4 linked regions of the Mus musculus genome follow. The protein of the gene in region 4 purifies or fractionates together with the protein of the main gene of each other region. This does not show direct contact. Links are inferred from orthologs where the notes say so. Each region holds a gene or a part of one and is shown on either strand. Other genes may lie near its edges.

Evidence for each region. The genes of interacting proteins can lie anywhere in the genome.
Region 1: the proteins of Lgals1 (region 4) and Itga4 purify together in Homo sapiens (affinity purification with mass spectrometry; 3 studies listed by BioGRID and IntAct, with this or other methods). This does not show direct contact. The link is inferred for Mus musculus from reciprocal best matches to the Homo sapiens genes LGALS1 and ITGA4.
Region 2: the proteins of Lgals1 (region 4) and Fn1 purify together in Homo sapiens (affinity purification with mass spectrometry; 3 studies listed by BioGRID and IntAct, with this or other methods). This does not show direct contact. The link is inferred for Mus musculus from reciprocal best matches to the Homo sapiens genes LGALS1 and FN1.
Region 3: the proteins of Lgals1 (region 4) and Met purify together in Homo sapiens (affinity purification with mass spectrometry; 3 studies listed by BioGRID and IntAct, with this or other methods). This does not show direct contact. The link is inferred for Mus musculus from reciprocal best matches to the Homo sapiens genes LGALS1 and MET.

The regions. Positions count from the first base shown.
Region 1 is NC_000068.7:79,284,192-79,291,590, reverse strand, and holds part of Itga4 (integrin alpha-4 precursor), read right to left. Parts: intron 6,852-7,399; coding exon 6,740-6,851; intron 4,587-6,739; coding exon 4,492-4,586; intron 3,385-4,491; coding exon 3,294-3,384; intron 2,770-3,293; coding exon 2,724-2,769; intron 2,355-2,723; coding exon 2,200-2,354; intron 1-2,199. UniProt on the Homo sapiens protein: Integrins alpha-4/beta-1 (VLA-4) and alpha-4/beta-7 are receptors for fibronectin. They recognize one or more domains within the alternatively spliced CS-1 and CS-5 regions of fibronectin. They are also receptors for VCAM1.
Region 2 is NC_000067.6:71,641,570-71,648,968, reverse strand, and holds part of Fn1 (fibronectin isoform a precursor), read left to right. Parts: intron 1-822; coding exon 823-960; intron 961-3,266; coding exon 3,267-3,422; intron 3,423-5,817; coding exon 5,818-6,009; intron 6,010-6,837; coding exon 6,838-7,017; intron 7,018-7,399. UniProt on the Homo sapiens protein: Fibronectins bind cell surfaces and various compounds including collagen, fibrin, heparin, DNA, and actin. Fibronectins are involved in cell adhesion, cell motility, opsonization, wound healing, and maintenance of cell shape.
Region 3 is NC_000072.6:17,531,223-17,538,621, reverse strand, and holds part of Met (hepatocyte growth factor receptor precursor), read right to left. Parts: intron 7,200-7,399; coding exon 7,039-7,199; intron 4,712-7,038; coding exon 4,609-4,711; intron 4,501-4,608; coding exon 4,364-4,500; intron 3,681-4,363; coding exon 3,519-3,680; coding exon of another isoform or gene 3,515-3,518; intron 2,785-3,514; coding exon 2,685-2,784; intron 2,219-2,684; exon of another isoform or gene 1,401-2,218; intron 1-1,400. UniProt on the Homo sapiens protein: Receptor tyrosine kinase that transduces signals from the extracellular matrix into the cytoplasm by binding to hepatocyte growth factor/HGF ligand. Regulates many physiological processes including proliferation, scattering, morphogenesis and survival.
Region 4 is NC_000081.6:78,923,092-78,931,290, reverse strand, and holds Lgals1 (galectin-1), read right to left. Parts: upstream 4,567-8,199; 5' UTR 4,496-4,566; coding exon 4,487-4,495; exon of another isoform or gene 4,344-4,486; intron 4,248-4,343; exon of another isoform or gene 3,322-4,247; coding exon 3,242-3,321; intron 1,659-3,241; coding exon 1,487-1,658; intron 1,294-1,486; coding exon 1,147-1,293; 3' UTR 826-1,146; downstream 1-825. UniProt on the Homo sapiens protein: Lectin that binds beta-galactoside and a wide array of complex carbohydrates. Plays a role in regulating apoptosis, cell proliferation and cell differentiation. Inhibits CD45 protein phosphatase activity and therefore the dephosphorylation of Lyn kinase.

The DNA of each region.
Region 1 (7,399 bases), on a different chromosome or scaffold from region 4:
TGGTGCATGCCTAATGTCTAATATAGTATGGGTCCCTTAATTTTGTGTTTCTTATTTGAAAGTTTGATATTTTATTTAATTTTCCTATATAAAATGAACAACCAGGTCAAAACCCAAAAATTTATAAAATGGCTTACTAAAAAAATACCTTCCTTTCAGTCCAATCACCAATTATTCATTCTTTGTGACTTTACTGCTCATGGTTTGACCCTCTAAAGTTAATCTAAAATGAAAATGAGAAGTATATAATCTTTCTCTCAAATATTCTAGTGGTTTAGGGGTGGTTAAAATCCGACATAGTTAATATTTAGCTGAAAAACAAGATCCTTGGATCAAAAAAGAAGAGGGGGATTTTAAAAGCCATAAAATCATCAAAGCAGATTATAGCTAGGAAGTAAGCCTCATTTCCTGACTCTAAAAGGGTTCTTTACAAAGTGACTTGAGAGCAGTCCTCCACTGAGTTGCCCTCACTGCACAGGAGTAATGATATCTAAGTAAATTTAAAAAAAAAATATATATATATATATATATATATAATTTCTGCAACATTCATTTACATCTGAAAAGAAACATACTTTTCTGAAGGTATTTTGCCCACAATGTATGCATCAAACTTGTTAGTCTTACATTCATTTTCAAATAAACCTTTCAACCATCATTTAATTTAGAAAATAAAGTCTAAATCAATTGAATTCAAAATTACAATAACTGTAATATAATTACCTAGAAAGCAAGAGAGAGTTGCAACTGAAGTAACCATTTTCAAATTTATCACCTGAGTCCAGAGCAAAGGTAAAGGAGGGACTACAAATGTATTCCCCTCAAGAGGCAGAACATAATGACCTCACCAAGCTACCATGTGGGTTATTCTTACCAGAGCCGCTTTCATAAGAACACTGTGATTATTTGTGTTTCATATATTCATTTTCAGACATTAAGAAACAGATCTAGTGCAAAGGAGTTGGAAGAACAAGGAGACAGCCGCATCCACTCTGTGTATCTTTCAGATAATCCATCCGCTTGTCTATGCTAATGTGTAATTCACTCTGGGGTCACACTCCCCAGGTGCCAATAACCAGATGAAGCTTTGCCCATCTTTTTATTACTTCAGCTTTGGCCAGGGCTTTTCAAGAGCATTATTAAAAAATGAGTCTCATAAAGTACAGATGCTGGGTTCATGCTGCCCATTACATAACAAAATTGCTCAGACTGGAACCTCTATTACACATCAAAAGTTTGGCTCCATAAGCAATTGGCAGCCTCTGTGATCTTTATATAACAGCAGCCTATTCAGTTGTTGCTCAATCAATTTCACAAGTGACTAATATCCAAACGATGATAACCCCAGGTAGAAGTATGACTTACTGGGGGCCATTTTCATTAGTAACTATTCTAAAGGCTGCTCTCTCTCTCTCTCTCTCTCTCTCTCTCTCTCTCTCTCTCTCTCTCTCTCTCTCTGTGTGTGTGTGTGTGTGTATGTGTGAAAGTTAGCATTAACTACCCTCTTGAATGATCCATATTAATGCTATATTCTCTATGGCAGTCAATTGAAGAGTTCCCTATAAATGGAAAAGGGGCACAGTTCTCAGAGCTGAGGGTGGCAGCATATTACATATACTAAATCCAGGTCCAGCCTCCAGAGAAGCATCTTTAATTATTCAAATATAACAGCATACACTTTAGATGAAGACCCTGTGCCTCTTACTCCTTCATACCTATGCTATGCTCCAGGTTTTACAAGCTCAGTAGCGTTGAGGGTGTAATTCAGTGATGTGACACCTACACAGCATCCCCAAGGCTCTATGTTCTTTCTCCATTTCTGTGGAAAAGGCAGTAGTAACAATAAAAACATTTCAAGAGGAGCCCTGTCAAGCAGGGGAGCTGTGGTGCCCTCGTTTGATTCTGAAGATTTCACAGGTTACACACAGAGGGTTCACCTTAAATTAACGCAGCAAGGGGTGGCCTTAGCTCCTCCTCTTGAGTTATGCACTAAACCTCCTTTGTGCCTCATATGCTGGCTAGAACAAATTGAGAACAACAACAACAAAAACAAGACAGACAAGAGGTGCATATCAAAAGATTGTTCCATTCTGCTCTAAAGAAATGTCAAATGCTCATGATAATGGATGATGAGGGCACACAATTGACTCCTGGATTACAGAATGAGTGTATGGTATTAGTTCTGTGGGCTGTGCTTACCGATGTAGCCTGGGACCTCTTTGCCTTTATATGAGAAACACAGTGTAAGATGCATGCACACAGATGGAAGTCCATTTTCAGTACAGTCAAACTTTGTCCTATTTACAGACTCAGGATGGCTTAAAGATGCTTCAACAATCACTACAGGCCTTGTCCTAAGAAGGCAATAAAATTATTAATATTAGTTATAGAATAATCTTACTGTAAAGACAGTAATTACATTTGTTCCCAACAAACAAGCAACGTCATTAAAATGCTTACTTAGTGGTATGTACATACATGCATGATTATATTTTGTGTACAGATTAAGAGAACTTTTCACTTAAATCTATAAAACCATTAGCTTTATCTGATGGTCTGTTTAATTATGTCTAAACAAGGTGAGAAAAAATATCCCAAAGTTTAATGATAGGACTCCAGGATACCAAAAGGAGCATCATCAAGGCCGTTGCTTTTAAAACCTGCCGCCCACACTCTACAATTAGGCCCAACTGTCATTAAGGAGTGACACACATCAACCTCACCTTAGCAACACTGCAGAATCAGATTGAAATGCACCAACGGCTACATCTGCAGAATAGTAATAATAATAAAAAAATAATAAATCAACAGGGTAGATTACCAATCACTATTAGTTAAAGAGAATAACCTTGCAGCAGCAAATACTAATCATCACATTTCAACTGTATCAAAATAGCATTTACAGAAACATAATTGGGAACGGCAAGCTCGCATCCTCAGATCCATTTCATGATATGTCTGAATCTACGCACCCAGAAGTAGCAGCAGCAATCGTTTTATAAGAAAGAAATGAAACGGGATGCTAGATGCTTGCAACAGGGCTGCCAAACAAAATATAAAGCTTTAAGCCGGAAGCATTCCTCCAGAAGGCGCCTTTCACGTCTTTCAAAACAGATATCTCCTTGCTTTTCATCACGTTTGATTGGTTTCTTACGTACTTCTTTTCTTTCTCAAGAACACAATTATGAGTAATCTGAAGTCCTTCACATTGGCTTTCTATGTTCACACTAAAGCAGCATCCCACAAAAAAATTTTTTTCCTTCCCAGACCTGAAAATGGACATATCTACTCACCAACATATCCATTGTTGTCTGCATCAATTTGTCCTGAGATAGATTGTCCAAACATCCTTAATGATTTGCTGATTTGCTGTCCTTCAATTCTCTAGGAAAAATAAAGGGGCTGTGTTGTGTAATCTTGTTGGGAATATCTAATATTTCCAAGATTTTACTTAGTTAAATAATGGATCTTCTCAGGCTTGTCTTAGCACACTGACCAAGAAAACACATTCTTACACTTTAAGAGATGTAAAATTTCCCACCTTTAAAAACACCTGAAATCTATTTTGTTACAAAAACTTTATGTTGTGAAAAAGGCAATATTTTATAGGATAATTTTTAGTGTTTCCAAAACAATTACTTATTTCTTGTCTTTGAATTTTTTCAAGTTCTGCTTTTACTTCCATAATCAACATTAATAAATAAACAGAGATTTTGAAAAATAAGATATCTATTACTCTTTATCATATATTACTATTCAGATGTCTGATGAAAACCTACTGGTTTCGACAGATTGCTCCTTTCCGTTCAAGAACACTCCACACCTCAGTCTGCTCCATCTATTTAATTTCATGTCCAAACACTGAATTAGAAATACATGGGTACTATTCACAGGAAGAAAAAAATCAGTCTTTGACTTGACATATACCTAACTTTTAAATTAAATTTAGAGGGTCACTTGCCTATTTTTGGTCACACCAAAATAATGTTAGCTAGCAAATCTCTGAAAAAAATCTTTCTTAGAATGTAGGTCTTTTTCTACACTGAAATATCTGGAGGTGTCAAGATATAGAATTGAAATGAGAGTTTTGTCATAAATTTGTATTAAGATATTATTAGTTTAACTATTATACTTAGAAAGAAACATGGTCTCATGAATGCATTTCACTCCCTGTGCTAGCTCTGTAAAGCATAAAGCTTTACCTGCGCTTGGTATCCAAGTGGGCAAAGTTGGGAAATAATGGCCATTGCCTCAAAAACACAGATGTGCTGTCACACATAAGGACAAGAAAAAAAATGGAATGGAACACTAGTGGCAATAAAGGGTTTAAAGAAAATTGTATTGAGAGTTAAAATAAGATCACATACCAATATTATGTGGTGAAATAAAAATGTTACATATTTGAGAGAGACAACAAGTCCACGTTACCAGACAAATACTGAGGGTACTTTAGTCTCTGATGTTCCTGTGCAAGTCTGAAGAGCATCTTACCTGTGAGTAGGTGGAGGAGATTCCATCGACTCGGCCATTGTAAATGTAGACAGCACCTCTCAAGTCGTCTTCTTGTGGTGCACCAATAGCAATATCTGTCGGATTTAAATCATGAAAATATTAAAACTCTTGATGCAAAGGATGAACTTGGAAAGCTAGCCTTCATGATTCTGAATGCATGTGTCATAATATGAAGACTCCCTCTATGTTTTAAATTAGATATTTTCTTCATTTACATTTCAAATGCTATCCCAAAAGTTCCCCAGACCCTCCTCCCCACCCCATTCCCCTACCCACCCACTTCCACTTCTTGGCCCTGGCATTCCCCTGTACTGAGGCATATAAAGTTTGCAAGACCACGGGGCCTCTCTTCCCAATGATGGCCGACTAGGCCATCTTCTGATACATATGCAGCTAGAGACACAAGCTCCAGAGGTACTGGTTAGTTCATATTGTTGTTCCACCTATAGGGTTGCAGACCCCTTTAGCTCCTTGGGTGCTTTCTCTAGCTCCTCCACTGGGGGCCCTGTGATCCATCCAATAGCTGACTGTGAGCATCCACTTCAAAACTCCCTCTTATAAGGAAATACAACCACTATGCCAGGAAAACAAAAAACAAAAAACTAACTACATGAGCTTCAAGATTATGCATAATATTTTGCGTATGGAAAATACCAGAGTGGGTGGTTTTGCAGCACACTCTGTCATAACGGATAAGCGTACGGGGGCTGCAAACATACCTCTTGACACCTCAGCTCTGTCGCTGTGCCCTGCTGCTCTGTATGTCCCCAGTGTTTATTCTATGTGTCTTGCTTCCCACTCATGGAATGAGAGCACACAAAGACAAATGTGCTTGGTATGAGAGGATGTAACACATCAAATGCATATAACAGCATCTGGCGTGTTATAATGGGAGACTGTATGACCACAGGAACCTTAGTTTTGAATCTCTAGACTTTTCTATTATAGTAAAATGGTTTCTGAATCCATTCTTCTTCCAGTAGTGGTAATTAGAGATACACACACATACAAATAGAATTTCAGAAAATGTCTTGTTTGTAAAATAATGACAGAATGAATTTATTGTGATTAATGTTGAATTTATGACACTGGGATTAAAACATGGAAAAAAACAACTCAAGAGTAACAAACATGCTGACTCATCTCATTGCTTAAGTGATGTAAATACATGTAACACGAAGAAGAAAATTAACATTCCATAGCTGCAAGAACATGTCATTGTTATACCACATGATGCTATGGAGGCATATTAATGCACTTAATAATATGCAGTGTTTTAATTATTTTAACTGATATCTGAAGAACAGAAAGTTTATTTTCATGATATTACTTATTGTCTCAATTTTTTCACAACTACAGTGGTAATTTTGACTGCTATTTAAGACAAACCATATTTTAATTATCAGTGGCAATATCAAGAAGATTCAATTCCAAGGCATGAAAATAAACATTAAAAACTTACTTTCTAAATTGTAGGAAGTTATTGCACTCTGGGAAACCATATACTCTCCTCTAACACATATTTATCCTATGTGTGCAGTTTCATGGGCCCAGTTAACTCCCAGTAGTAGGCTGAGAGCAGACAGGTGCAGAGGAAGGCATTTCTACTGCAAGCCTGATGTCTAGGGCAGGATGCATGGTTAAGACAGTGCCATTTATTAATCATGTAAATGCTTCAAGGTCAATTGGTGGATAGCCACTACTCTGCCCCTCACCAATGCTATGACTTTTGCTGGGTCCTTGCCAGATCCTAGAGCAAAGCAGCTCCAGACAGTACTCCAGGCATAGCAGGGGGCACCAGAACATGCTCCACTTTCACCTCCAGACTCAGTTGGGTTTGCTCAGTTTCTGGGCTGTACTGGTAGTTAAATATCATGCTCCAATGATATAGACACCTCATAATTTCTTTCTAATATCAGGATCATTTTTAAATAGTAAAATGATGGATATCAAGAGTTGATAAGCATCATTTTAGAGATGAGTAAAGAATGATGCTACTTATAATCAATGGTACCTTTAGAACCAATAAAAATGCTTTGAATAACCCCCTCTAATTAACTGTGATAAAGATTAATAACTGACATAACATTTTCAAAATCTAGGTGGCATATCATTCTGGTTCCTCTTTCAACAAAAAGGTGAACAAGCACAAAACTACAATCACATTTGCTTCCTTGAGCTATTTTAAATGTAGAAATTAAGTACCAAACTAGAGATTTTTAATTACCTTCAAAGCCGTCATTGTCAATGTCGCCAAGATTCGCTATAGACTCCCCAAATCTTGCAGCATATTTGTCACTTCCGACAAGGACCCTTTCCATTTCAACCATCACAGCTCCCTAGATGAGGATGGAAAGAGAGGTGTCATTATAAAGCCGCCTGGCAACTTGTCACGTGCTTTACTGCTATAATTGGATATGGATTTTTCTAATGCATCAAACCACAGAGAGAGCTTCAGTACACACATCCCAGTTCAATTCAATAAATATTTATTAAGTCAACACATAGAATAGTGTGATTAGAGCTCAGAGGACATGGGAAATTGTCGAACCCAAGATCCCCAGCTTTGAAAATCCAATAAATCATTTTAATAATTCAATTTAACAAACATTTATTGAGCTCTTGCTAAAGACAATGCACTCACTGGGCAGAGTGAACCAGTGAAAGGGGCCATGGAGGAGTATATGTAAGCAACACCCTGCTTCCTCCAGGAACCATGGATACAAGACGGGCTTTATACAAGCATGCACATGACTTACACGTACAAATTACTTTTGCACTAATGAGAAGAAGGGAGAATAGTTCTAACTGAAGCAAGGAAGGAATTCCAATAAGGAGCAGAATGGAAAGACGACCTGAGAGAGACTTCACAAAGGGACATGTAAGG
Region 2 (7,399 bases), on a different chromosome or scaffold from region 4:
TGTTTATATACTATGCTGTCCCCTTGGTGAAGAAGACATGTTATTTAAAGGAGGAAAAATTACACTATTGACACATTTCTTGTTGGAACACAGTTTGTTAAAGCACAAAATGCCACGTGGCTCCGGTCACACCTTGGCAATTTCCTTAAAAACAAACATTAAAGGTTGTGGGGGATTTTTGTTGGTTTGTTTTATTTATTTTTTCTGTTTTTTTGTCTTAGCCTTGGTTGTACTCTGAAGCCCAAAGTTTTGGGTTCTCTTTCTTAGATCTCCAAGTCAGACGTGTGTTTTTTCAAATTTGTTTTGTTTTTGTTTTTTACATTAGTCTAAAATTTAAAGAGCGCTCCTCTCATTCTTTGTAAGTCGTTCATATTTTATAGTGGTTTAGTTTAGGGACACACAGATCAGTGGTAGAGAGCACTTGCTGAGGCTAACATAAGGTTCTGGGTTCAATTCCCAGGACTGAATTAATGAGTTAAAAGAGAAAGGTTGGGATTTTGCATAGGGTCGTCTCCCACAGGGTAAAGACTTGCATTTCTTTCCACTTGAAATGTTAGTGGGAAGCTTGGGACAGGCAGAAAAATCCGGTCTGTGTACTCATTAGGACAACAGAATTTACTTGCAGCAAGGCTGGGGCTTCCTCTTGCTCCGGCTTCTTGCTCCGTGCTTAGCTGCAGGGCGTGCCTGCTCATCTGAACAGAGTGCCACTTTAAGAAATGTGGCTGGGGTTTTGATTCCATGCTACACTGTAAATTATAGGGAGACGCTATCATTTTAAATCGCTCTTCCTCCTTTCTTTTTGCTTTCCCATTTCTTCTCCAGCTGAGAAGTGTTTTGATCATGCTGCTGGGACGTCCTACGTCGTGGGGGAGACCTGGGAAAAGCCCTACCAAGGCTGGATGATGGTGGACTGTACTTGTCTAGGCGAAGGCAATGGACGCATCACCTGTACCTCCAGAAGTAGGTTTAGCTCTTTTCTGTTGACAATGCAGCCCACTGTTGCTTCTGGATCCCTAGAGAGAGTTGTGATGCCTTGGTGACTCTGTGGTATCATAAGATGTCCAGAAAAACTGTATAACCATCACCTTCTGCTTCTTCAGAGGACACTCAATAACTAGGAAAGGCAGTTCTCAGTTCAACCCTGCCTTAGGCAGTCAGCTAGTAAAAATGAAAAGAGCCTTAGTGGTATTCGCTTGCTGGATGGGTCTTCCTTGATCTGGGAATTATCTCAGAGATACCTTTCTGGTACCGAGGACAATTAAATCCCTAAAGTAGCATGTAAATGAATCCTTTGACCTGGGGGAGCGATTGGAAATAAAAGGCTCTACCCCATGTTCGGATTTCCTTCTATGTTTGAAGTTTAAATAAGGTTTACTGACTCTAAACAAGAACCTAGTGGAAATGAGTCCGTGCCCAGTATTATCCTTCAAATAGGAAAGTGGAATGAATTTCTGTGTGTTGTTTGTTCATCGATTGGGCAGAGAGACTGTTAAATTATAACCCATCCTTGCTCTTACGCTACAATGTGGGCAGTAAGGGTCTAACTTTGTGACTTAAATATTGCTGCATTTGCAGTGTCAGGAAAAAAAAATCAACCATTGATTCAGGCAAATGCATAGACACACAAGAACAGAGGTCCAAGACCCCAGCTAACAGTGTTGTCAAACCTGAACCTGTTTTCAGTATCTTTGAATCAGTATCTCTTGAAACTCCTAATGCTGAGCTTTGTAAGTGATTAATACATGAGCCTTCCTCATCTTTGACCTACTAAGTGTTCTCTGAAGGCTGATGCCCAGTTCGTATTTCCCTCCCCATATTGCCACATACAAAGTAAGTACTTATAAAATTTTGTTGATCACATGCTATTTGTTTGAGAAACTTTGCATGCTGTCAGAAGGGTTTTAAATGATAGGTAAGAGTCTGAATTAGATTTCTTTCTACATGTGTTTATTTTGTGTGTGGAGGTGGGAGGCACACACGCCACAGTGTGCATGTGGAGGGCAAAGGACAGTTTGGACCGCGCAGGGTGCAGTGACCTCAGGTTGTCAGGTTTGGTGGCAAGGTTCTTTACTCACTAAGCCAGCTCAGTGGCTCAGAATTAGATGTCTAATTTGTCTTCAATGAAAATACTGCCACAAACGACTTGGAAGACTGAAGCTCATCACAGTTTTAAATCAAAAGATCTAAGGATCCTATAAGTTTGGGGGAAACATTTGATCTTTTTCCATGACTTATTTTTGTGTGGCAAAGAATTTGAACTTGGGTGGTATTTTTAATTACTAGTTTAAGCTGGATAAACAAAACACATTCAAGATATCTAGATTTGACTTTTTTTTTTTTTGCATGCGTTTTAAAATTCATGCTTCAGCAAATTCCAAGGCTGTTGTTAGTTTGAAATTCTAAATGGAACTTTGAAGGCAGAAGCAGCAATTAAGACTTCAAGACAATCTTAGAAGCGGGAGGGAAGAAGGATGCCTGGGGCCAGCTTTTTACAAGGATAATAAGAGACAGCATCCTTAACTCCAGAAGAGACCTTTTAACCGTGGGATAAGCCATTTTGTCGTTGCTATTGGTTATTGTCACTGTTATTATTACAATTACTATTATACAGGGAGGATTCTCATAAGCCCAGGCTGGCCTAGAACTTACTGTGTTGCTGAGAGAGACCTTGGGCTCTTAACACTCCTGCTCCTACCTCCCAGACGCTGGGGTTAACCACGTGGGTGACTTTGTAATTGTAAAACAGGTGGTTTTGGGTGGGGCAAGAAAAGAGAACCTTCTAGCCAGAGAAGTTGTTTTTCCACAGGAATACTTTTACATAACAAGTGGAGAGATTGGTGTGGTTAACTTTTTAGCTTCCCTGGGGCAGTCGGAAGAGACCTGCCTCCTTATTGTTTATTGAAAGGAGGGCCATGGGCTGTAATTACAGAAAAAGGTCTGGAAGACACTGAGGAGTAAAGAGTAGATTGCCAGATAATTAATTGAGTCAAAGAACCAATGTAGAAAATCTTAATTTTTTTTAATCAATAAAAGACACTGAATAGTATTTTTTCTTTTTTTCCTTTGGCAAATGGAGAGGTAGGGCTGTACTGTAACGAACCGGGTATCTGAATTTTAATATATGCATCACCAGCACTGGGTAGGATGTACTAACACCAACAACAGCCACTCAGAAGCATTCAACTGCAGCATTCCCATCTTAGTGTGGATGGCTGCGTGTCGGTTACTAGATAACTTCTATATTCAATGCTTCTCTCCTGAAACAGACAGATGCAACGATCAGGACACCCGGACATCCTATAGGATTGGAGACACGTGGAGCAAGAAGGACAACCGAGGAAACCTGCTTCAGTGTGTCTGCACAGGCAATGGCAGAGGGGAGTGGAAGTGTGAGCGACATGCTCTACAAAGTGCTTCAGCCGGTGAGGCGCTGGGACCGGGGACAGCTCCACGCCAGGGTGATTTATAGCGTTTCAGCTAAGAAGCTGGAATCGTTCACATAACTGTTTAAAAATATTCATTCTATATTGTGAACAAAGTTGAGTGGAATGAAGTTGAGACGTGCCTTTAGCACAGAGGGCTGGGTTGGAAAGCATAGTGTACTCTGGTCATGGCTCTATTAGTATAGGCTTTGGCTTATGAGCATGAGACTCAGAGTTCAGTCTAGAACCAAAGTAAATATCCAAGTGTGATGGTGTTATCCCAGCACCAAGAAGGTGGAGGCAGGAGGATACCTGGGGATTACAGACCAGCCAGCTTACACTACTTTGGAAGTGTGGGGGTGGTTCCAGGTTAGTGAGATGGTGTGGCTGGCCAGCCCACTTTTCTTGGGGGAGTTGGGGGAAGTTGTGTTCTAGGTTTGTGAAAGATGGTGTCATAGAAAACAAGATGGCTCTGGGCATAATCCCTGCCTTCTACATGCACAAGCTCTCCACACGCATGCGCACATAGATAATGTGCATGCACCCTCCCTCACATGGACAAGCAATAGTGAGTGAATGTGTGGTATGTACTTGGAATCCTCAAGCCCTGGGTTCAGTTCCCAGCACCCTCCCAAAACACCCCAATAATTATTATATAAATTTAAAAGAATAACTAAAACAAAGAAAGGTATTTGTATGTATCTTGGATGCTTGGTCAGAGTCTGAGGAAGGGGTCGGAGCACTTGCCAACCATGCGCAAAGCCCTGGTTCTGGTTCCCCATCACTAAATAAAAGGAGGGTGTGTTGTGCCTGCGATTCCAGGGATCAGGAAGTAGAGGGACGGAGGATCAGAAGTCCAGAGTCAGCCTTGGCTACGTAGTGAGTTCTAGTCAAACCTGCTCAATGTGGCTCAGTGGGTAAGAGCACCCAACTGCTCTTCCGAAGGTCCAGAGTTCAAATCCCAGCAACCACATGGTGGCTCACAACCACCCGTAACGAGATCTGACGCCCTCTTCTGGTGTGTCTGAAGACAGCTATGGTGTACTTACATGTAATAAATAAATAAATCTTTAAAAAAAAATAAAAAAAAAAAAAGATGCTGTCTCTCATGCACACACACATCGGAAGAAGGAAGTGCAGCTCTTGTGGGTGGTACCTTCCCGCTATTGCGCTCTGGGTTTCCATCTAGCTTTTACTGTGTGATAGTCCAGCCTTGTTACTTAGCCTCTTAGCAGTCAGTCATTCAGGCAATAGTAATTAGATTTTTTTCCCCTTTTGACGAGTTTATCTGGACCTAATTAATCCTTGTGAAAGCAAACAAGGTTACATTTGATGATCTCTACATTATCCAATTATCATCGATAAAAACAGCTATTGGCCATAAGGCAGAGGAAGAACAGTTACGAATGTCAGTCGACTGAACTACATGAAGGATTAACTGAGCTAACTGGGATTAAACAATACGTGTTAACTATTTTTATGGCATCACTAATATACCGAGGTGTTTCACTATTAAAGGGTTTGAGAAACACTGTTAAACGAAACAACCTCTTCTAGGAGGGCCTTGCCGTCCTTCTGTATGGTGGGCCTTGACACCATTGGCGTCCTCTGTCTGAGTTCTCTTTGGGTATTTGTGCTCGTCAGCGCTGGGGGAAGAGGCTAGATTCATTCTAGAAGCTCTTCCGCTGCCATACGGACTCTGACCTTCAAAAGCCAGATTTCTAAAAGAGAAGCTAGCACAATCTGTTGTGTTAACTATCCGAGGAAACTTGTGAGGATTGGTTGCTTCTAGGAAAACAAACAGACATCCTAAGGAATTCTGCTGAGCACCGACACCCAGGAAGAGGGATAACTTAGGAAATCCGTAGCTCTCCAGGGTGTCCTCCTGAGAGCCAAGTTTTAGAGAAGGCAGGATATCCCCTGTGGGTCTTCAGGGGTCTCTCAGGAAGAGGAAAGGCCACACACAGAGCATATGAGAGCTATGAGGGAAGACAGGCAAGGCAGACCATTTCAGATGAGTGGGGAGCCATAGGGAGAAGGCAGGAGCATGGTACCCAGGAATGATGAGCAGCTCAGTGGGTTGAAGCTTAGAACAGGGCAGGGAAGGCTAGCAGCCAGGCGGGAGGGGAGAGTGGTAGAGGGGTGTGGAGCTCACAGATGGATCGCTTCCTAGCGTGACTGAAGGTTTGTGAAAGATAACCTGTTGTGTTGTGCGGCAGGATAATGTTGTCGCTTAGATGTGCTGTTCAGGTGTGGCTCCGATGAGGATTATATGAGGAGTCTTGTGAACCACTTCTTGGGCTGAGTGCGGAAGTTCCGGGTCAAGCCAAGAAGACTCTGGACTCATTGACTTCTCCCTTCCAGTTTTATAACTTTTTCATTCTCCTGCCCTTAGGATCTGGCTCCTTCACTGATGTCCGAACAGCTATTTACCAACCGCAGACTCACCCCCAGCCCGCTCCCTACGGCCACTGTGTCACCGACAGTGGTGTGGTCTACTCTGTGGGAATGCAGTGGCTGAAGTCGCAAGGAAACAAGCAAATGCTGTGCACGTGCCTGGGCAATGGCGTCAGCTGCCAGGAGACAGGTAGGCACCATCTGCCCACGGATGCCAGAGGACCTACATTCAGTGTCTGCAGTATCTTAGCTGTTCGTAAAAAAAAATGTAAAACCATAAATCCAGAAAAGTTTATAATCCTGTGATAAAAATCATAGTAGCTGACATTTTCTTCTCTGGTCTTTTTTTTTTTTTTTGGTTTTTTGAGACAGGGTTTCTCTGTGTATCCCTGGCTGTGGCCTTGAACTCAGAAATCCCCCTGCCTCTGCTTCCTGAATGCTGGGATTAAAGGCGTGTGCCACCACGCCCGGCTCTTCTCTAGTATTATAACTTGTATATTTTCTTCCTATCATGAGGATCAAACTGCTTTGTAGTATCTGTATTTGCCGAAAGGGATGCTGCAAGAACACCATTTTTTTCCTGTTTGTTTTTGTTTTTTCTCAACTAGCCAATAATCTGTACTCTGAGTTCAATTTGGAATTATAGATGTCTTTTAGCAGCACATGGCCTCTTCTGGGTCAAACATGCTCTCTTTTATAATTGTTTTTCTAGAGCAGCCATATATACTGTTTCTTCTGAGAATGTAAGCAAGCATGTATCGCTCTGTGCCGTCTTCAAATCATAATAATTTGTATTAATAAAGCTTTACAAGTGGGGAAACTGAGTCACGGTAGCAGAAGTGTCTCCCAAAGACATTAAAAGGAGAACTCTGGCTCACCCTTAACCAGCTGACTAGACTTTTCATCTTGGCCCTTTAGTAGCACAGTTTCCATTTAAATTAGAAATTTGTCACCACTGGGGTCAGAGGTGAGGGTGGGAAACAACTGTACTGACTGAGACTCTTGGTTATGCTTGTAGCCGTGACCCAGACTTATGGTGGCAATTCAAACGGGGAGCCCTGTGTCCTCCCGTTCACCTACAACGGTAGGACCTTCTATTCCTGCACCACCGAAGGGCGGCAAGACGGACATCTGTGGTGTAGCACAACTTCCAATTACGAACAAGACCAGAAGTATTCCTTCTGCACAGACCATGCGGGTGAGTGTCCTGGGAGGAACCAGAGAGGGCGGTCGTCTGTCTGTCCTTGCCGTGCACACCCTTCTGTGTGCCAGCAGTCAGTCAGTCATTCCGAGGCTGCACGGGAACTATAGCTTTGATCTATTTGAACCCACAGCTAATCCCTTAGCAGAGGCAGGCAGTTTCCATGTCCCTTAGCGCCACTGGGGAAATGTCACTGAGGGAAAAGCCCTATGGTTTGATTATTTCGACACATGGGGATTATGATGTGATTAAAGACACTCAAGTATTGAAATCAGTGGATGATCCCACAGAGCCGATGAACACACAGGATAAATGTCAAGGGTGCCGGTACTTATCTTCTGTGTAGAGTCGAATTTTACACAAAGCTATCATTTAATCT
Region 3 (7,399 bases), on a different chromosome or scaffold from region 4:
AGGACTTTTTAAAAATCTTCTACCACTTTTTGAGTCTTTTCTAGGGTATGCCTCTTTTATATCTGACACTGAAGGCTTCAAGCAAGCATTTAATATGTCATCTTTGGGTAAGGGAGATGAAAGCAAGCTCAGCCATTATCGTAATAATGGAGGCTTGGTCTTCAGTAAATGAATCATTTCTTAGACCCAACTTTAAAAAGTCACATGCCAACACCAAAGAGGGTTACTGCTATTTTTATTTGGTTAAAGTAAAATCGTATCTTGGTTGTGGAGAAGTGACGGCTCCTAAATTAATAACGGTGGTATTCTAACTTTGTTTGTGGCCATGTATGGGGATTGGCTTTAAGGTCCTTAACTTCATGCTGTGACTCCCTGGAGCATCTTCTCTTGGAAATATGATAAGAATCTAATAACACTTGTTAGAGGTGATGCAATGTGGATGACTGAGAGGGTCAAGAGGAATCTCGTTTGAGATGACCTTAGTGTTTGGTGATTCGGCTTGACATTTTTAGTCCCAAATTGCTTTCTGTAATTAAGGACCAGAGTGGCTTTAGTCCTTGTGAAATATTGGATGGGGGAATTTCAAAGAAAGTGCTATAATTCAATCTACCACTTGCCCAATCGAACTTAGAGCCTTTACTTCAGGTTGAGTGCATGTGTCCAACTGATGTGTGGTATTTCACAGCAGAAAAATTCTATAACAAGACATTCACCATTCTGAGGTTTAGACTTAGATTATTGGTGTTTGTTTGTTTCGTTTTGTTTTTGAAATGGTCTATTTAGCCCTAGTCTGGACTGGAACTTGCTAGGTGGAGGAGGCCAACCCTACACTCTTGATCCTTCTGTCTCCATCTTCCAGATGCTGTTATTACTGACTCCCATGCTAGGCCTAATGTAAAACTGTTACAGCTACAGATGGATCCATCTCTGTTAAGGTTAAATTATGGTTGTGCTTTCAAATAAAAAAATGTAGAGAAATGAAAAATACCATTGAAATACTTGATAATAGTATTTTATTATCATCCCCTGTATGATAATAAAGAGACAAGGACCGAGGTAAGGAAGTGCAAGGAAAAGGTTTTGATCCATAGTTTGAGGGACACAGCAAGTGGAGCGGGTGCTGTGCTTTATATTATTACTTTAATCAAGGGGTGTGTAATTGTTGAACATTTCTTAATTTCATTAGTCAAAATCGTCTTTGATTATGTATGTGTTACAAGAAATACATCTATCTATAATATCTATACATATAATGCTTTTGTGTGCATAATTTAGTCCTATCTGGCTTATTGGCATCATGTAGAATAGGTTTAAAGAAAAGAAAAATACATAATTATGATTAAAAATAGTATTTATGCACCTCATTCATAAAAATGTCTATCCTATTTCTTTCACTTGAGAAACTCATTGCGGGGTGTGCTGATTAGGTTTGCACTGCTGTGACAAAGCTCCAGGGTCAAGATCAACGTGGGAGAAGAGGGTCTAACTCATCTCACAACTCTCAAACCACACTCCATCACCGAGGAACCTCAGGACAGGAACCCAACCACACTCCATCACCGAGGAACCTCAGGACAGGAACCCAACCACACTCCATCACCGAGGAACCTCAGGACAGGAACCCAACCACACTCCATCACCGAGGAACCTCAGGACAGGAACCCAACCACACTCCATCACCGAGGAACCTCAGGACAGGAACCCAACCACACTCCATCACCGAGGAACCTCAGGACAGGAACCCAACCACACTCCATCACCGAGGAACCTCAGGACAGGAACCCAACCACACTCCATCACCGAGGAACCTCAGGACAGGAACCCAACCACACTCCATCACCGAGGAACCTCAGGACAGGAACCCAACCACACTCCATCACCGAGGAACCTCAGGACAGGAACCCAACCACACTCCATCACCGAGGAACCTCAGGACAGGAACCCAACCACACTCCATCACCGAGGAACCTCAGGACAGGAACCCAACCACACTCCATCACCGAGGAACCTCAGGACAGGAACCCAACCACACTCCATCACCGAGGAACCTCAGGACAGGAACCCAACCACACTCCATCACCGAGGAACCTCAGGACAGGAACCCAACCACACTCCATCACCGAGGAACCTCAGGACAGGAACCCAACCACACTCCATCACCGAGGAACCTCAGGACAGGAACCCAACCACACTCCATCACCGAGGAACCTCAGGACAGGAACCCAAGGAAGGAGTATGGAAAGAGGAACTGCAGGGAAGACCATAGAGGAATTCTGTACACTGGCTTAGTCTCCAGGCTCATGCTAAACTACCTTTGCTATCCCTCCCTAGAGGACCTAGAACTCAGAGTGGACTGGTCCTTCCAACATCAATAATAATAAAAAATGGTCCCAGAGACTTGCTTGCAGGCCAGTCTGATGGAGGCACTTTCTCAGTTGTGAGTCCTTTTCCCACATGACCCTTTGCTTGTGACAAGTTTGTATATATATCAAAAAGTCTGAAAACTGCTTCATTGGTGTATAAACATGTGTGTATATGTATGTATGTTTACCATGTCAGGCCAAGATTCTACCACTGAATAAAAGTACCATTTGACCTCTGCTGCAGGTTACTAGACAAAGCCAAAATGTCCTTGTGCCCTAAAAGCTTGGCAGCATAGGCAGAATGACCACTCTAAGACTTACCACTGTGTAGTTCACACCCACTTCATGCACATCTATTACCAGCTTTGGGAGGCTAACCGAGTTCAGGGTCTTCCCAATACCCGTTATTGTGCTTCCACCACTGGTAAAACAAAATAGAAAACAGGAATATTCAGAGCGTTCCTACCAGCTGTGCAGAGGTTCAGTCTTATACACTCAGCTTTATCCTTACTATACTCTTATGATGTTAGAGGACTCGCTAGGATTGAATGAGAGTTCAGGGTTAACTCTTCTTTGGAAATTCGAGAATATTTAAAGAAAATTACATTTCATTAGCTGTAGAAATGGCTGAATTTTTACCGACTAAATGTGGAGAAGAAAAATGCTAGTGACTATTGTTGGTGGACTGATAGAACGAGCAAAGGTGGGAGAGAGGCTCTATAGATGCTGACTAAAACAGAGTCTGGTGCAGGGAAGAAATACGTATGTGTAAAGGGATCGCAAAATGCAACAAGAGGAGAGGGGAAAGGCGACCTGCAGCTCAGTATGGAACTGACACAGATGGAGACACTATATATGACATAGATGCATCTATACCATGGCACCAGGTTGAACTGTTTTTATCTAGGTGTTGAAAGCATAACAGGAAATGTATAATAGGAAGAACTGCTCTTGACAGGAAGTAACATCGATAAAGTCAGACTGTCCCAAGGACTGGAATACAATTTCCCACTAAATTGGAAAGGTGCCTTCAAAAGAAACACAGCAGCGTTTAAATAAATGAGGGATTAAAAATGTGATAGCCCTTGGGTGTTCCTCAGCCAAATGATCCTTCTGCTTTTGCTTTTCTTCTACCCACCAGAAGCTTTTACTTACCTAATAAAAGATTTGGTCGGGTGGATTTCATAGACAACGGGGTCTTCCCGGTAACTGAAGCTGCTGGTCTCTCGGTTAGCCAAGTCAATCTTCAATTTCACAGGAAACTCATCAGAGGTAGTTTGGGCTGGGGTGTAGCATTCAAGAATACTATCTGATACACTGAGCAGCAAACAGACACAAAAGACCAGAAAGAAAGGAAGGAAAAGAATAAAGAGCAGATATTAGTTATTAGTGATATACATATTCCAAAATTACATCTGTAAGTCAAAAAAATGTAACTCAGTGGAATTTCCAGAGGTGGCCTAGGAGAAAAGCTCTCCCCACTGTAGCTTGTTTACATCCAACTAGATCCCACGCTTAGCCTTGTTGAAAGGCCATCCGTGACTTCAAAACATTTGGTGGTTCAAGCAAGCTTCAAAGTACATTTGGTACTTGAATAAACTTAGCTCCTTCAACTCTAAGAAGGAGAAACAGAACTACCTTTCAAACCTAACCTCACCCATTTTGTCCCACCACATATCTTCTTTATATTTGAATCTTGATAGAAATGCTCATTTTGATGTACTACCAATGACCAGAGCTTTAAGTTCACCGTATAGCTCAGATAAGACTCACCAAAATAAAGGAGTGGGTAGCAAGTCAAAACTCAGAATGGGGATTAATCAGTAAAAAGGGAAGGATAGAAAAATTAGCAAAAGGAAGCAGATGGATTTTGGACAGAGAGAATCATTAGTGGGAGAGAATCACGGAAAACATCTATATTGTGCTCCGCACAAACGCAAAAGAGCTTGGCTGGGCAAGTATTAAACACAGATATTAATAAACAACAATATTTACAATACCTTTTTAAAGTACATGTTTTCCCTCCAATTGAAATGTGTCTAGAATTGCCACTGTTGAGGTATTTCCCAGTAAGAGTGAGTAAGGTGCCTCCAGCCTGAGGGCCGTACCTCGGAGAAATGCTTGTTATTACAGGATCCTGAATGGGCAGCAAAACCAAAGAGGGACTGGTTACTTGCATCCTTTAAGCAGATGACAGAAAAGCCAAATGTCCTAGGTCATGAAGAAAAGCCCTGCTTGAACTTACTACATAGGAGAATGCACTGTATTGCGTCGTCTCTCGACTGTTTGAGATAATTACAGACACATTGAAGTGCTCACTCATCGCGGGACCAACTGTGCATTTCAACCTGAAAAAAAAAAGGCAGAGCTTAATATGTTTCAAATCCACAGGCATTTTCTGATTTTCTGGTTTGGCTGCTTGTTGTGATGGGATATTAAACCCCAAATTGTGAGCTCATGACTCCAAATAGCAAGCTCAGTTTCATGGAAGCATGAAGGCTGAAACATCACGTAATTCTATTTTTCGAATACTTACTTATGCCAAACTTTATATCGACTGTTGTAGGAAGCTTCATGTCACCCATGCAAACTCACCAGCTAAGAAGTGTATGCTAACCTAACCTGTAAAGTTATGCGCTTGGTTGCTTGGTACATGTAACATCATGGCTGCTATGTCAGCAGCCTATGAAGCAATCAGTATTCCAGCTATGAATAAGCCAGCTCTTTATCAGTTTATGCCAACAACTCTATTTCTATGACTGTTGTTGTCATAAATTTATTTAAACCACTTAAAGGCTAATGCAACTGTAACAGTTTTCTTCCATAGAATTATTATGGCTGTGTCATGTTGGGGGCACAAGTATGCATATAGAAGCCAGAAACCAACCTTGGGTGTTATTTCTCAGGGGCTATCTACTTGGTTTTGAGATGAGCTCTCTCTCTGGGACCTGGAGGTCGCTGATTAGGCTAGAGTGGCTGGCCAGAAAGCTCCAGGGGTCTTCCCGCATCTGACTCTCCAGTGCTAGATTACTAAGGAGCATCACCACACTCAACCTTTAATTTGGGTGTGGGGTATTGAACTTCGGTCCTTATACTTGATTGACAAGCACATTAGCAACCACGGCATCTCCTTAGCTACCAATGGTAGCATTTTAATCAGTAATCTTATATAGTTTATATATATATATATATATATATATATATATATATGTATGTATGTATATATGTATATATATATATATGTATGTATATATGTATATATAGTTTAAATATAATTTGTTTTTTAAATAAGTTACTTCTAAAAAGAGTTAATGAATTGTCTTTTTCTTTATAGATCTTAATTCACTTCGTAATAATTAAGAGTTTGAGAGAACAAGGAATGTTTCTAGAGTGAACTTGCTTTTGTCTTTGGCCTAGCAAGCTTGATATTAACTGGTTTTGGTTACTATATTAAGGTCTTCTATGATGTCTCTGAATGAAATCTATATTAGATATATTTACTTTTTTTTTTTGGTGTTTTTGAGACAGGATTTCTCTGTATAGCCCTGGCTGTCTTGGAACTCACTTTGTAGATCAGGCTGGCCTCGAACTCAGAAATCCGCCTGCCTCTGCCTCCTGAGTGCTGGGATTAAAGGCATGCGCCACCACGCCTGGCTAGATATATTTACTTTATAGAACAGATTCAACCACAATGATTCAACTGTTAAAACTTTGGTTGTTGCTCCTGCACTATAACAAATAATCTCTGGGCTACCTGGTTACTGTGGCATCTAGGGATTGTAGAAGGGATATGAAGAATATAGGAGAATAAGGTCTTGATCAGAGAGCAGCAGCTCTGGTCTCTGGCTTAGCTCAGGTAGGCTGTACCCCAGCTCTTTTAATGTTAGGCAAGAATGGAACTGACTCCTCCGAAGATTTGGGGGATGCCCAGATGGCAGGGTACCAATGAATATGACCTGAAAATAAGTTCATCTAAAAAGTCTTAAAACTGTTCGATTTGATTGATGGCGTCACCATTGTTCCAAGGACTAGCAGGTGAATCATGAACAGAGGACAGACAGACAGCTGTTTATTGATGTTCATGAGAGACCTTTGGGGCAGTGTTTGAAGTCTGAAGGGAAAGGTCCATTCTTTCATATTGAACAGGCAATTTCTGCAGAGTTTTTACTTTAGTAGTTTCAAATCTCCTAGATGCTGGCCTAGCAGGATGGAAGAGCAGTTACCACACATGACTAATGGTCTGAATTTGAGCCCTGGAACCTACTTTGGAAGGGGGTAACCGAATCCCTGAAGTTGTCTTTTGACTTTCACACGCAATACAACATGTGCAACTGCACCCATAGATGCTTGCCAAACACTCTAAGCCACAGTAATAAATGAAAATACTAAACTCTAACTCCGTATAAAGATTAAATCAAGTGAACAAGTCTAAAAACAACTCGTGGATGTTGAATTGTTCTAAGCCATGTCACCTTTGTCTTTCTCCTTGTCTGTTAATAAAGTAAGATTACAAGAAGAAAACCAAACACATCTTCAAATGCTATGACAGGTCAAGACCCTTGTGAATTCCTGGATGAGCATGTTGAACAATTGTTCTTCTCTTTTTTAGAAAACCAAGTTAAAGAATCCAGCCTAGCTTCCAAGGCCAGCCCAGCAAAGTTACCATGCTCCTTACGTATTTGTCGTGCTCTCGCTTAAGGTCAAGGTACAGCTCTCGTTGCCAAGCAGAACTTTGGTTTTCCTTAAATCAAATTTATTATTCTTCCTGAATCCAAAGTCCCAGCCACATATGGTCAACACTGTTCCTCCTTCAAGGGGCGCGCTGGTGGGGAACACCTACAACGGTAAACCCAACAGAATATGATTATCTTTCATAGTGTGGAAGCCAAACAAACTATGTACTACTTTTTAATGTTTATTTTTATTCTGAAAAATTCACATGCGTGTGTTCCTGTGTGTGGGTTTGTGCATGTGAACACACTGACTATGGAAGCTGGAAGAGGGCATTTGCTCCCCCGATCCTGGCATTACAGCTG
Region 4 (8,199 bases):
CAGATCCTGAGCTGAGATCTGGAAGACACCTCCTCCTGGAAGCCAGGAATAAGCACGCAGTGGTAGGCAGGCACGTCCATCTCTGCCAGCCCAGTGAGCCACCTGCCCTCTGGAAGACCTGCGTCTGGGCCCTCCCATCAGCCTTCCCACCCCACTCCTCATCTTATGTCTCTGAAAGGGCCCACTCAGAATCCCCAATCACATTACAGGAGTGTGACCTCATGCCAGATTCCCATTGTTAGGGAGGGGACCTGTTGAGTGCCACAGAGTTAGCGCCTTCTAGCCTAGTCCTCTAGCTGCCCACTGATTCCAGGAGGGTAAGCCTGCTTCCTCTGGGCTCAACTGCTAAGGGATCATTTTGTCCCTCAGAGACTGTTTCCTCCCTACGCATTTTGCATTTGCAGGCATAAAAAGTTAGTAGTGTAAGGAAGACCAGAAGCTACCCAAATGGCATTGGTCATGACGTACCCACAGCAGAACTTGGAGTCCTCCACCAAAATCTCATTTAACTCCACAACAACCCTCATGAGAACTGAATATTATCCCTCATGCATAAAACGATAAACTAAGGCTCAGAGAGACCAGCTAACAAGCACAAGGCTATACAACAGTTTTTAGTCCTTACCTATATGAGGTCATACTATATTGCCGAGCTAGTCCTAAGTGGTCCTCTTGCTTCAGTCTCCTAAGAAGTTAGTGGTATAGGACTATAAAGCTAGCCCAAGCTGTCTCCACTATGTCGCCCAGGCTATCCAGACTGCTCTGGAACACATGCCGATGTGCCTGGTCTAGCCTCCTTAATTTCAAGTATGTGTCATCATGCTCAGTGGTTTCTGGCTTTTATTAAGACAAATGCGGTCCGGCTGTTCATCCATCCACCTCCCACTGCTCTGTCCCTGTCACAGTGGGACACTGGCTCACCCTCTGTGGTCACTTAAGCCCTCTCTGTGCTGGGCTCTCTTTGGCCTGGAAAGCACAAGAGAGGTCACTGAGACCAAGAACACATGGAGGCATGAATGGAAGTGAAGATGGACCAGGTTGGGCGGGGCCCCTCACATAGACACACACAAACACTCTCCCATGAAAGGGCTGGATTATGGGGAGCAGAGGCAGCTGCCTTTATTGAGGGCTACAGGCTGGCTGGCTTCACTCAAAGGCCACGCACTTAATCTTGAAGTCTCCATCCGCCGCCATGTAGTTGATGGCCTCCATGTTGAGGCGGTTGGGGAACTTGAATTCATGTCCGTCTGGCAGCTTGATGGTCAGGTCAGCCTGGTCAAAGGTGATGCACACCTGGTGGATGGAGAAGGGCAGTGAGCTGGGCCTTGGACCAGCTCAGAGCCCCGGGGACAGGTTCTGTATAGGTGAGGTCTATTATGTTGAGAGAGTGATGCCATTCAAGGGTAATCACACAGCAGGGAATGGTCAGCCTCTGGCTCTGACCATATTGCCCAGCACACCCAGGGCCCTGCCCAGCGCCACCCACCTCTGTGATGCTCCCGGGCTGGAAGGGGAAGGCAGGTTCCCGGTGTTCGGTTCCCCAGGTCCCATCTTCCTTGGTGTTACACACAATGGTGTTGGCGTCTCCATGGGCATTGAAGCGAGGATTGAAGTGTAGGCACAGGTTGTTGCTGTCTTTTCCCAGGTTCAGCACAAAGCTAGGGGGGGGGGGGACAGGTGGGCTTTCAGCCATGTTGGATGGTGCTAGACCCCAGCTCACTGAGAAAATGCAACATCAGCAGCTGGCTATGGACATGCCATGTTGAAACTCAAGCAACAGGAAGGCCAGGAACTTCGATTCTACTTCTGGTCTCACCATGTGAACTGAGCTAGACCCTGCAGATTCTCTCTGACTGTACAGTGGTGGTGGTGGTGGTGGTGGTGGTGGTGTGTGTGTGCGCACTAGGGGAGCTCTCTCCCAGACATTGATAGTTGTCAACCCCTTTGGTCAAGAGGGGAGATTCTCCAGATGGTGTCCTATCTGTCTTGTGTATCTGAGTCCCTGGTGCCGAGTACAGCGCAGGGCACACCATAGATTTTCCCTCACTGTGGAGAAGAAGCGTAAATAAGAATACGGAGTTTGAGCCTTTAATCCCAGCACTCGGGAGGCAAAGGCAGGCGGATTTCTGAGTTCGAGGCCAGCCTGGTCTACAAAGTGAGTTCCAGGACAGCCAGGGCTATACAGAGAAACCCTGTCTTGAAAAACCAAAAAAAAAAAAAAAAAAAAATGGAGTTTGGCTGGCTGTGGTGGTGCACGCCTTTAATCCCAGCACTTGGGAGGCAGAGGCAGGTGGATTTCTGAGTTCGAGGCCAGCCTGGTCTACAAAGTGAGTTCCAGGACAGCCAGGACTATACAGAGAAACCCTGTCTTGAAAAACCAAAAAAACAAACAAACTAACAAAAAGAATACGGAGTTTGTTGCACGGAGCCTGGTAGCGGTGTTCACCGTGGAGGTATGGTAGGAAGAGGCGAAAGGGCTCAGGAACTTACTAACAACAGACAACAGACAGCAGCAGCTGCCTGCTTGATGGAACTGGCCCTGGCTCTCTCCCCTCCACCACTTTCCCTCTGGCTTTATTAGGAACCCCAGGCTCTTAGGGGTGTGGAATATGGAAGTACACACTTTCTATCCCAGCTCTGGGGAGACGAGACATGTGGGTCTTCGTGGAGGCCAGCCTGGTCAACACAGATTCCATGCTAGCCAGGGCTATATAAGGAGACCCTGTCTTCGGAGAAGAAAAGAAAAGAAAAAAAAAAGTCGAGGCCTCGTGAGCTTGGGTGACTGGTCCAAACTCACATGGCTGCTGGGGGCGGGGGGGGGGGGGCGGTGGGGCGGTATGAATGAGGAGGAAGCTCTGGAAAAAAGATTGAGCCCCTGCAGGGCACCCTCAGGCAGCAGGCACGTGGGTGACCACTCCCTCAACGCCTCTCCCCCGCTCCCTCGCGCCACCCCCGCCCCCCCCCCCGCGGAAGGGGAGGGGCAAGCCGGAGTCGTTGAAGCAGCAGCTGCTTTAGTTTAAGAAACTTCAGCCGGGAGAAAGGAGGCGGGAGGGAGGGGGAGACCACGGCGACGTCGACTAGACCCAGCGAGGAAGTGACTCACCCAGAAAACGCAGCATCTGCAGCTGCCCGTTAACCAGCTGCGGGCTGGGGAATGAGCGGTTCCGGCCGGCCACGCCCATCGCAACCTAAATCTGCGAACCTGGCCCCCTGCCCGCTCCATTCTTTTCTCCAGTCTCACCTCTTGGCGTCCGAGGCCACCTCTCCCCGAACTTTGAGACATTCCCCAGGTTTGAGATTCAGGTTGCTGGCGACCAGACCCTGTGTAGACAAGAGCACCGAGCTGTGTTTAGGTTGGAGTTAGACCTACCTGCATTGGGCTGGGGTGTAGGGATGGGGTCATTCCCACCCTGGAGTACCCTGACCAGCCCTAGGGGAAGCCCGAGGTGGGATGGGCTGGTCAGGATAGGGTGTAAGTTGATGGGGAACGACTTCATTCCCAGCAGGGTGTCAAACTTGTGACTGTCCTACAGAACAAGCCCTAAAAGACATCAGCTTGGAGACCTGGACTTAGAGTGGAGGGGAGATGGAGTGTGACTTCCTAAATCCTCATTTTGCTGATGGAAGGATTAGGCGACCACTAGCCTAAGGCCTTGCTTCTCTGAGATAGAGAAAACAGCCTTTGCCTCCCCAATCGGCTTCAAGGCTCTCTGCTTAGATGCACACCATCGGGAGGGAGCGGAGAGGCTGAGGGGCGGTGGGACTGGGCAGCCCGAGAGTGGCAATGTGGACTTAGCACGCTAGAGAGCCCAGTACATATCAGGGCACTGCTGTGCACCTACCTGGGTGAGTTGACAGGAGTTCATTTGGGCAAGGGGTTTCTTTGACATTTGAACCCTATACCTGAGGGCTTGCCTGTCTGTGCAAATGCATGCAGTTTCCTCCGCCCAGCCCTGACCCGCCTCCACTGACCAGCCTGGAGCCTATCTTAGGCCCGGGAGGGTTTTTTTTTTTTTTTTTTTAGTTTTCTGGAGCAGAGGGTGACCAACTGAGCCCTGGCCCTGTGACTGGGGACAGCTGCAGCGGGGGAGGGGTCAGGAGACTCTAGAGTGGAGAGGAAGAGTGAACAGGGAATGGCCTTGGCCAAAATGTCCCCCTGCCTCCCTTTTCCCCGGGTGGCCACACCCTTCCCACTCCCACTTCTCAGAAAACGGCAAAGCAGCAGAATACTGGACTTTGCAAGGCAGGTATGCGGCCAGAACTACGAGAAGTCCAGAACATTCTTAAGCCAGAGACGCTTAAGGTTTCAGGGGGGAACAGTGACAGCCACCCCCATTTTACAGATGTAGCCACTGAGGACCAGAGAAAACACCTGTCCAAGGCAGCACAGCTGGGACCAGAAGCAAGTCCCCAATTGTCTACTCTCCTGTGCCCATCTGCTTCTGCTCAGTCCCCTAGACCTTGGAACAGAGGGTCCCGCACTCACACAGGCCATGATTGAAGCTGAAGCGAAGAGATTCCTGAGACCTGCTCCACCAGCAGTCAGAAGACTCCACCCGAGAGACGGGCCCCAGGCCCGCTCCGACCTTTTTAACTGGATCAGACCCGGTGAGTCCCGCCCCTCCCCGGGAGTTCAGCCAATTGCATGTCAGGACAAGGATGGGGGCCACCAGAAGTGGAGTCTATGGATTATAAAGTCAATTTTGGAGCAGAGGTGACCAGTCAGAGAGGAGACCCCCCCTCCTAGCCCCTCCCTCAGGGTCCTGGCGCCGCCTCTTATTCTTCTCCATCCCTCTTTCCACTAAAAAAAGATTTGTGCTGTGGCAGAGATTGGGGGAGCCAATGGAAAATAGTTTAAGGATGAGTTAAACCTAAGAGTTGGCGGGATAGGGCCTGGGGCCAGCAGGGAGAAAGCCCCTAGGTCCCAGCGCAGCTGGTGGGGGAGGGGGATGTGTGTATAGATGCCTGCAGAGAATTAGAGCAAGGCTCTCTGAAGAGGCTGCCGCCTGGCAGGCCAGGGTGTGGCTCTCGCTGTGACTCCCACTGTGGGCTTCTGCGGGAGGACTGAGGAGGACCACAAAGCACAGGCCCCACCAGGGCTTTCCCCGGAAGCAGAGGACTGTGGCTACGGCTCAGTGCAGCTCACTAGGGCTAAAGAAAGCCTGGGCTGGGCGCCAGGCCTGAGGCTGGTGTCCTTGGCTCATACCTTGGACTTCACCCCACTGCAGGGCCTGCAGAGAGTTCTGAGTGCCTTGGCTGTGACATCCCCGGGGCCTGAGAGGCAAGCCTCGGGGCAGTCCAGGGTGTGCCAGATGTGCCCCCTTGGTCTCATTCCCACTTTTAGAGAAGAGACTTGGCCATCCCTTCCCATTCATTTAGCAGTTATTTTCCTGAGCCCCTACTGTGTGTCTAGCTCCGTGCTGGCCTCAGAGGGCATGAAGATGAGCCCCTCCCAGGCCCTGCTCTCAGAATTCACGGTTTGGATAGAATGTGACTATGCGTTGAATTAAGAAATAACACCGCACTGGCACTGAGCAGGGCAAACACTCACCATGGTGGGGTAGAGACTGACATATGAAGCAGGGATTTGAAAGGACCCAGCATTCCAACTGGGCAAAGGCTTGGAGATGAGAAGCCCGTGCCTGGGGAACGAGCTGCTTACCATGTAGGAGAAAGCTGGGCGTTAAAGATCATGAAGGGTCTTGTGGGCCAGGTAAAGGGTTTCAGTGTCTTTTACCTGAGGGTCTTGGGGAGCTACAGAGGGTCATGGGGTGACATGAGAGACTTAGGGAGGTTCACTGAGCAGAGCGGAGGGTGTGTGATAATACAGGCACTTCAAAGCTGCTCTTGCCAAAAAGCCTGGATTCCTCCCGTGCCCTGGAAGGTTACTGAAAGGGTGAGTCTGCCCTCTCTGCCTTTGTCTTTGTATCTCTGTCTCCTTCCTTTGGCTCAGGCTCTCGCTTCCCTCCGCCTTCCTGACCTGACCATCACCCTTCTAAGCCAAAGGCACGAAGACTAGTCACTGTCTCAAAAATGCCGAGCCAAGCCTTGCAGGACAACCCCTCCCCCACCGGAGTGTTCCTGAGGTAACTGCACACCCGGGAGAAGGAGTGACCCTCTCCCTAGAACTTACACATCCCCTTAAGCAATATGACTTCTTTAAGCCATCGTACAGAGCCAGTCAGTCAGCCCAGGTATGCATACCTCTTGTTATCTGTGCTGATTCTTTCAATATTTAAACTTAAACTACATGGTGGCTCATGCCTGTAACACCAGCACTTGGGAAAATGAGGCAGGAGGATTAGGAATTCTCATCTGCTACATGAGACCCTGGCTAAAAAACAAAAAACAAAAAAAAAACAAAAACAAAAAACAAAACAAAAAACAAAACAACAACAAAAAACAAAAAACGGGCAGTGGCGGTGCATGCCTTTAATCCCAGCACTTGGGAGGCAGAGGCAGGTGGATTTCTGAGTTCGAGGCCAGCCTGGTCTACAGAGTGAGTTCCGGGACAGCCAGGGCTACACAGAGAAACCCTGTCTCGGAAAACAAAAACAAAAACACAAAAACAAAAAAACAAATTAGCAGCTATCCAGGCAGTGGTGGTACACACCTCTGACCCCAGCATTCAGGATGTAGACAGAGGCAGCTCTCTGTGAGTTCAAAGACAGTCTGGCTTACAGATTGAAGTTCCTGGATAGTCAGGAGTACAGAGAGAAACCCTGTCTTAAAAACCAAACCAAACCAAACCAAACCAAACCAAACCAAACCAAACCAACCAAATAACCAAACAAAAATTAGCAGCTAAAACAGCAACAACGGCCTCTCCAAAAGCCAACTCACATTAGTACCCCAAAACAAACTTGGGGTTACTGAGACTCTTGATCTGTTCCCTTTCCCAGTGTGGCCACATTGAATAAATCCTTTTGTGTTTGTTAACCTGATGTCCCCTTAGCCTCTTTTTAGGCAGGAGTCTTACGCAGTACAGCCCGGCCTCAAGCTTGCTGGGCTAAGGCTGACCTTAAACCTCTGACCCCCCTGCTCCTGCCTCTCAAGTTCTGGGATTTCAGGCCTGTGACAACTGACTTGTTGGGGATTAAACCAGACCTTCACTCGTGCTAAGTGAGCATTCTACCAACTAGTTATCTCTTTAATTGGTGTAGAGGCCCAGCTCCATTGGTTGGCTGCCAGAGCCCCCTCTCCTGCCCTAAAACCTCTGGTTAGTTAGAGGGGTATTTGGCTCACGCTGGGAATCAGGTGTCGGGGCAACAGGGGGTCCGTGTAGCCGTTCCCCTTCCGAAGCTACCATCTTGGAAGAGTTGTGACGATAAGGGGTCATTGAGTCACATCTGGAGGCCAGGCCAGCAATCCTCTTGCCCTACCCAGCCTCTTCCTCCCAGGCTCATCTCTAGCTCCTCCCTCCAGATGTGGAAAGCCCACCCAGGATGTGAGGAGAGGGAAACCCGCAGGGCACAGGGGAGATGCTATCACATCTGGAGTGAGGTTGGCCTGCCCCATCATCTCCAGCCCCGCCCTCAAGTCACCACCAGAGAACCCAACCGCAGCAGCTTCAATCTTTCCTCTGAGGCCTCCCCAGACTTCAGTTACAGGGCGGGACTGTTGGGGCCCTGGCCGGTTAGTTCCTCTACTATTCCAACTGTGTGTGCCCCTCTCCCACATCAGGAACAGGACAAAGACATCAGGCAGAGTTCCAGGTAGAAGACCAGAGATGAGGCAGTCAATTGCCAGGCAAATCCACGGGCTGGGAGCTCAGGGCTCTGGGAGCTGTTCCTGCCAGGTCATGACTGGAATAGAAGACCTACACCAGGAAGTGTGTGTGTGTGCACTTCTCTGTAGGTGCTGTCTGAGCAGGCCGGCCATGGAAGAGCATGGTATAAGGACTAGTCTCCTGACCATGGCCTGGAGATTCTGGTTTATGCTTCCAACCCTGTTTACCTGTTTATTCATTTTCTCCATTTGCAACTGTACGTGTGAAGTCCCTCTTTCCTTCCTGAGGGTCACGTAAGGTGGGACTCAGGTCTGTGGCTCTTCATAGGTGACCTTTGCCTTGAGACAGTCCTGCTCTGTAGCCCGGGCTGGTTTGGAGTTCGAAGCAGTCCTGCCTGGGATAACAGGTATGAGTTCACCATACCTAGCTGAGCTCAAGATTTACAGTCTCCTTGTCGCCTCTTCCAAGGT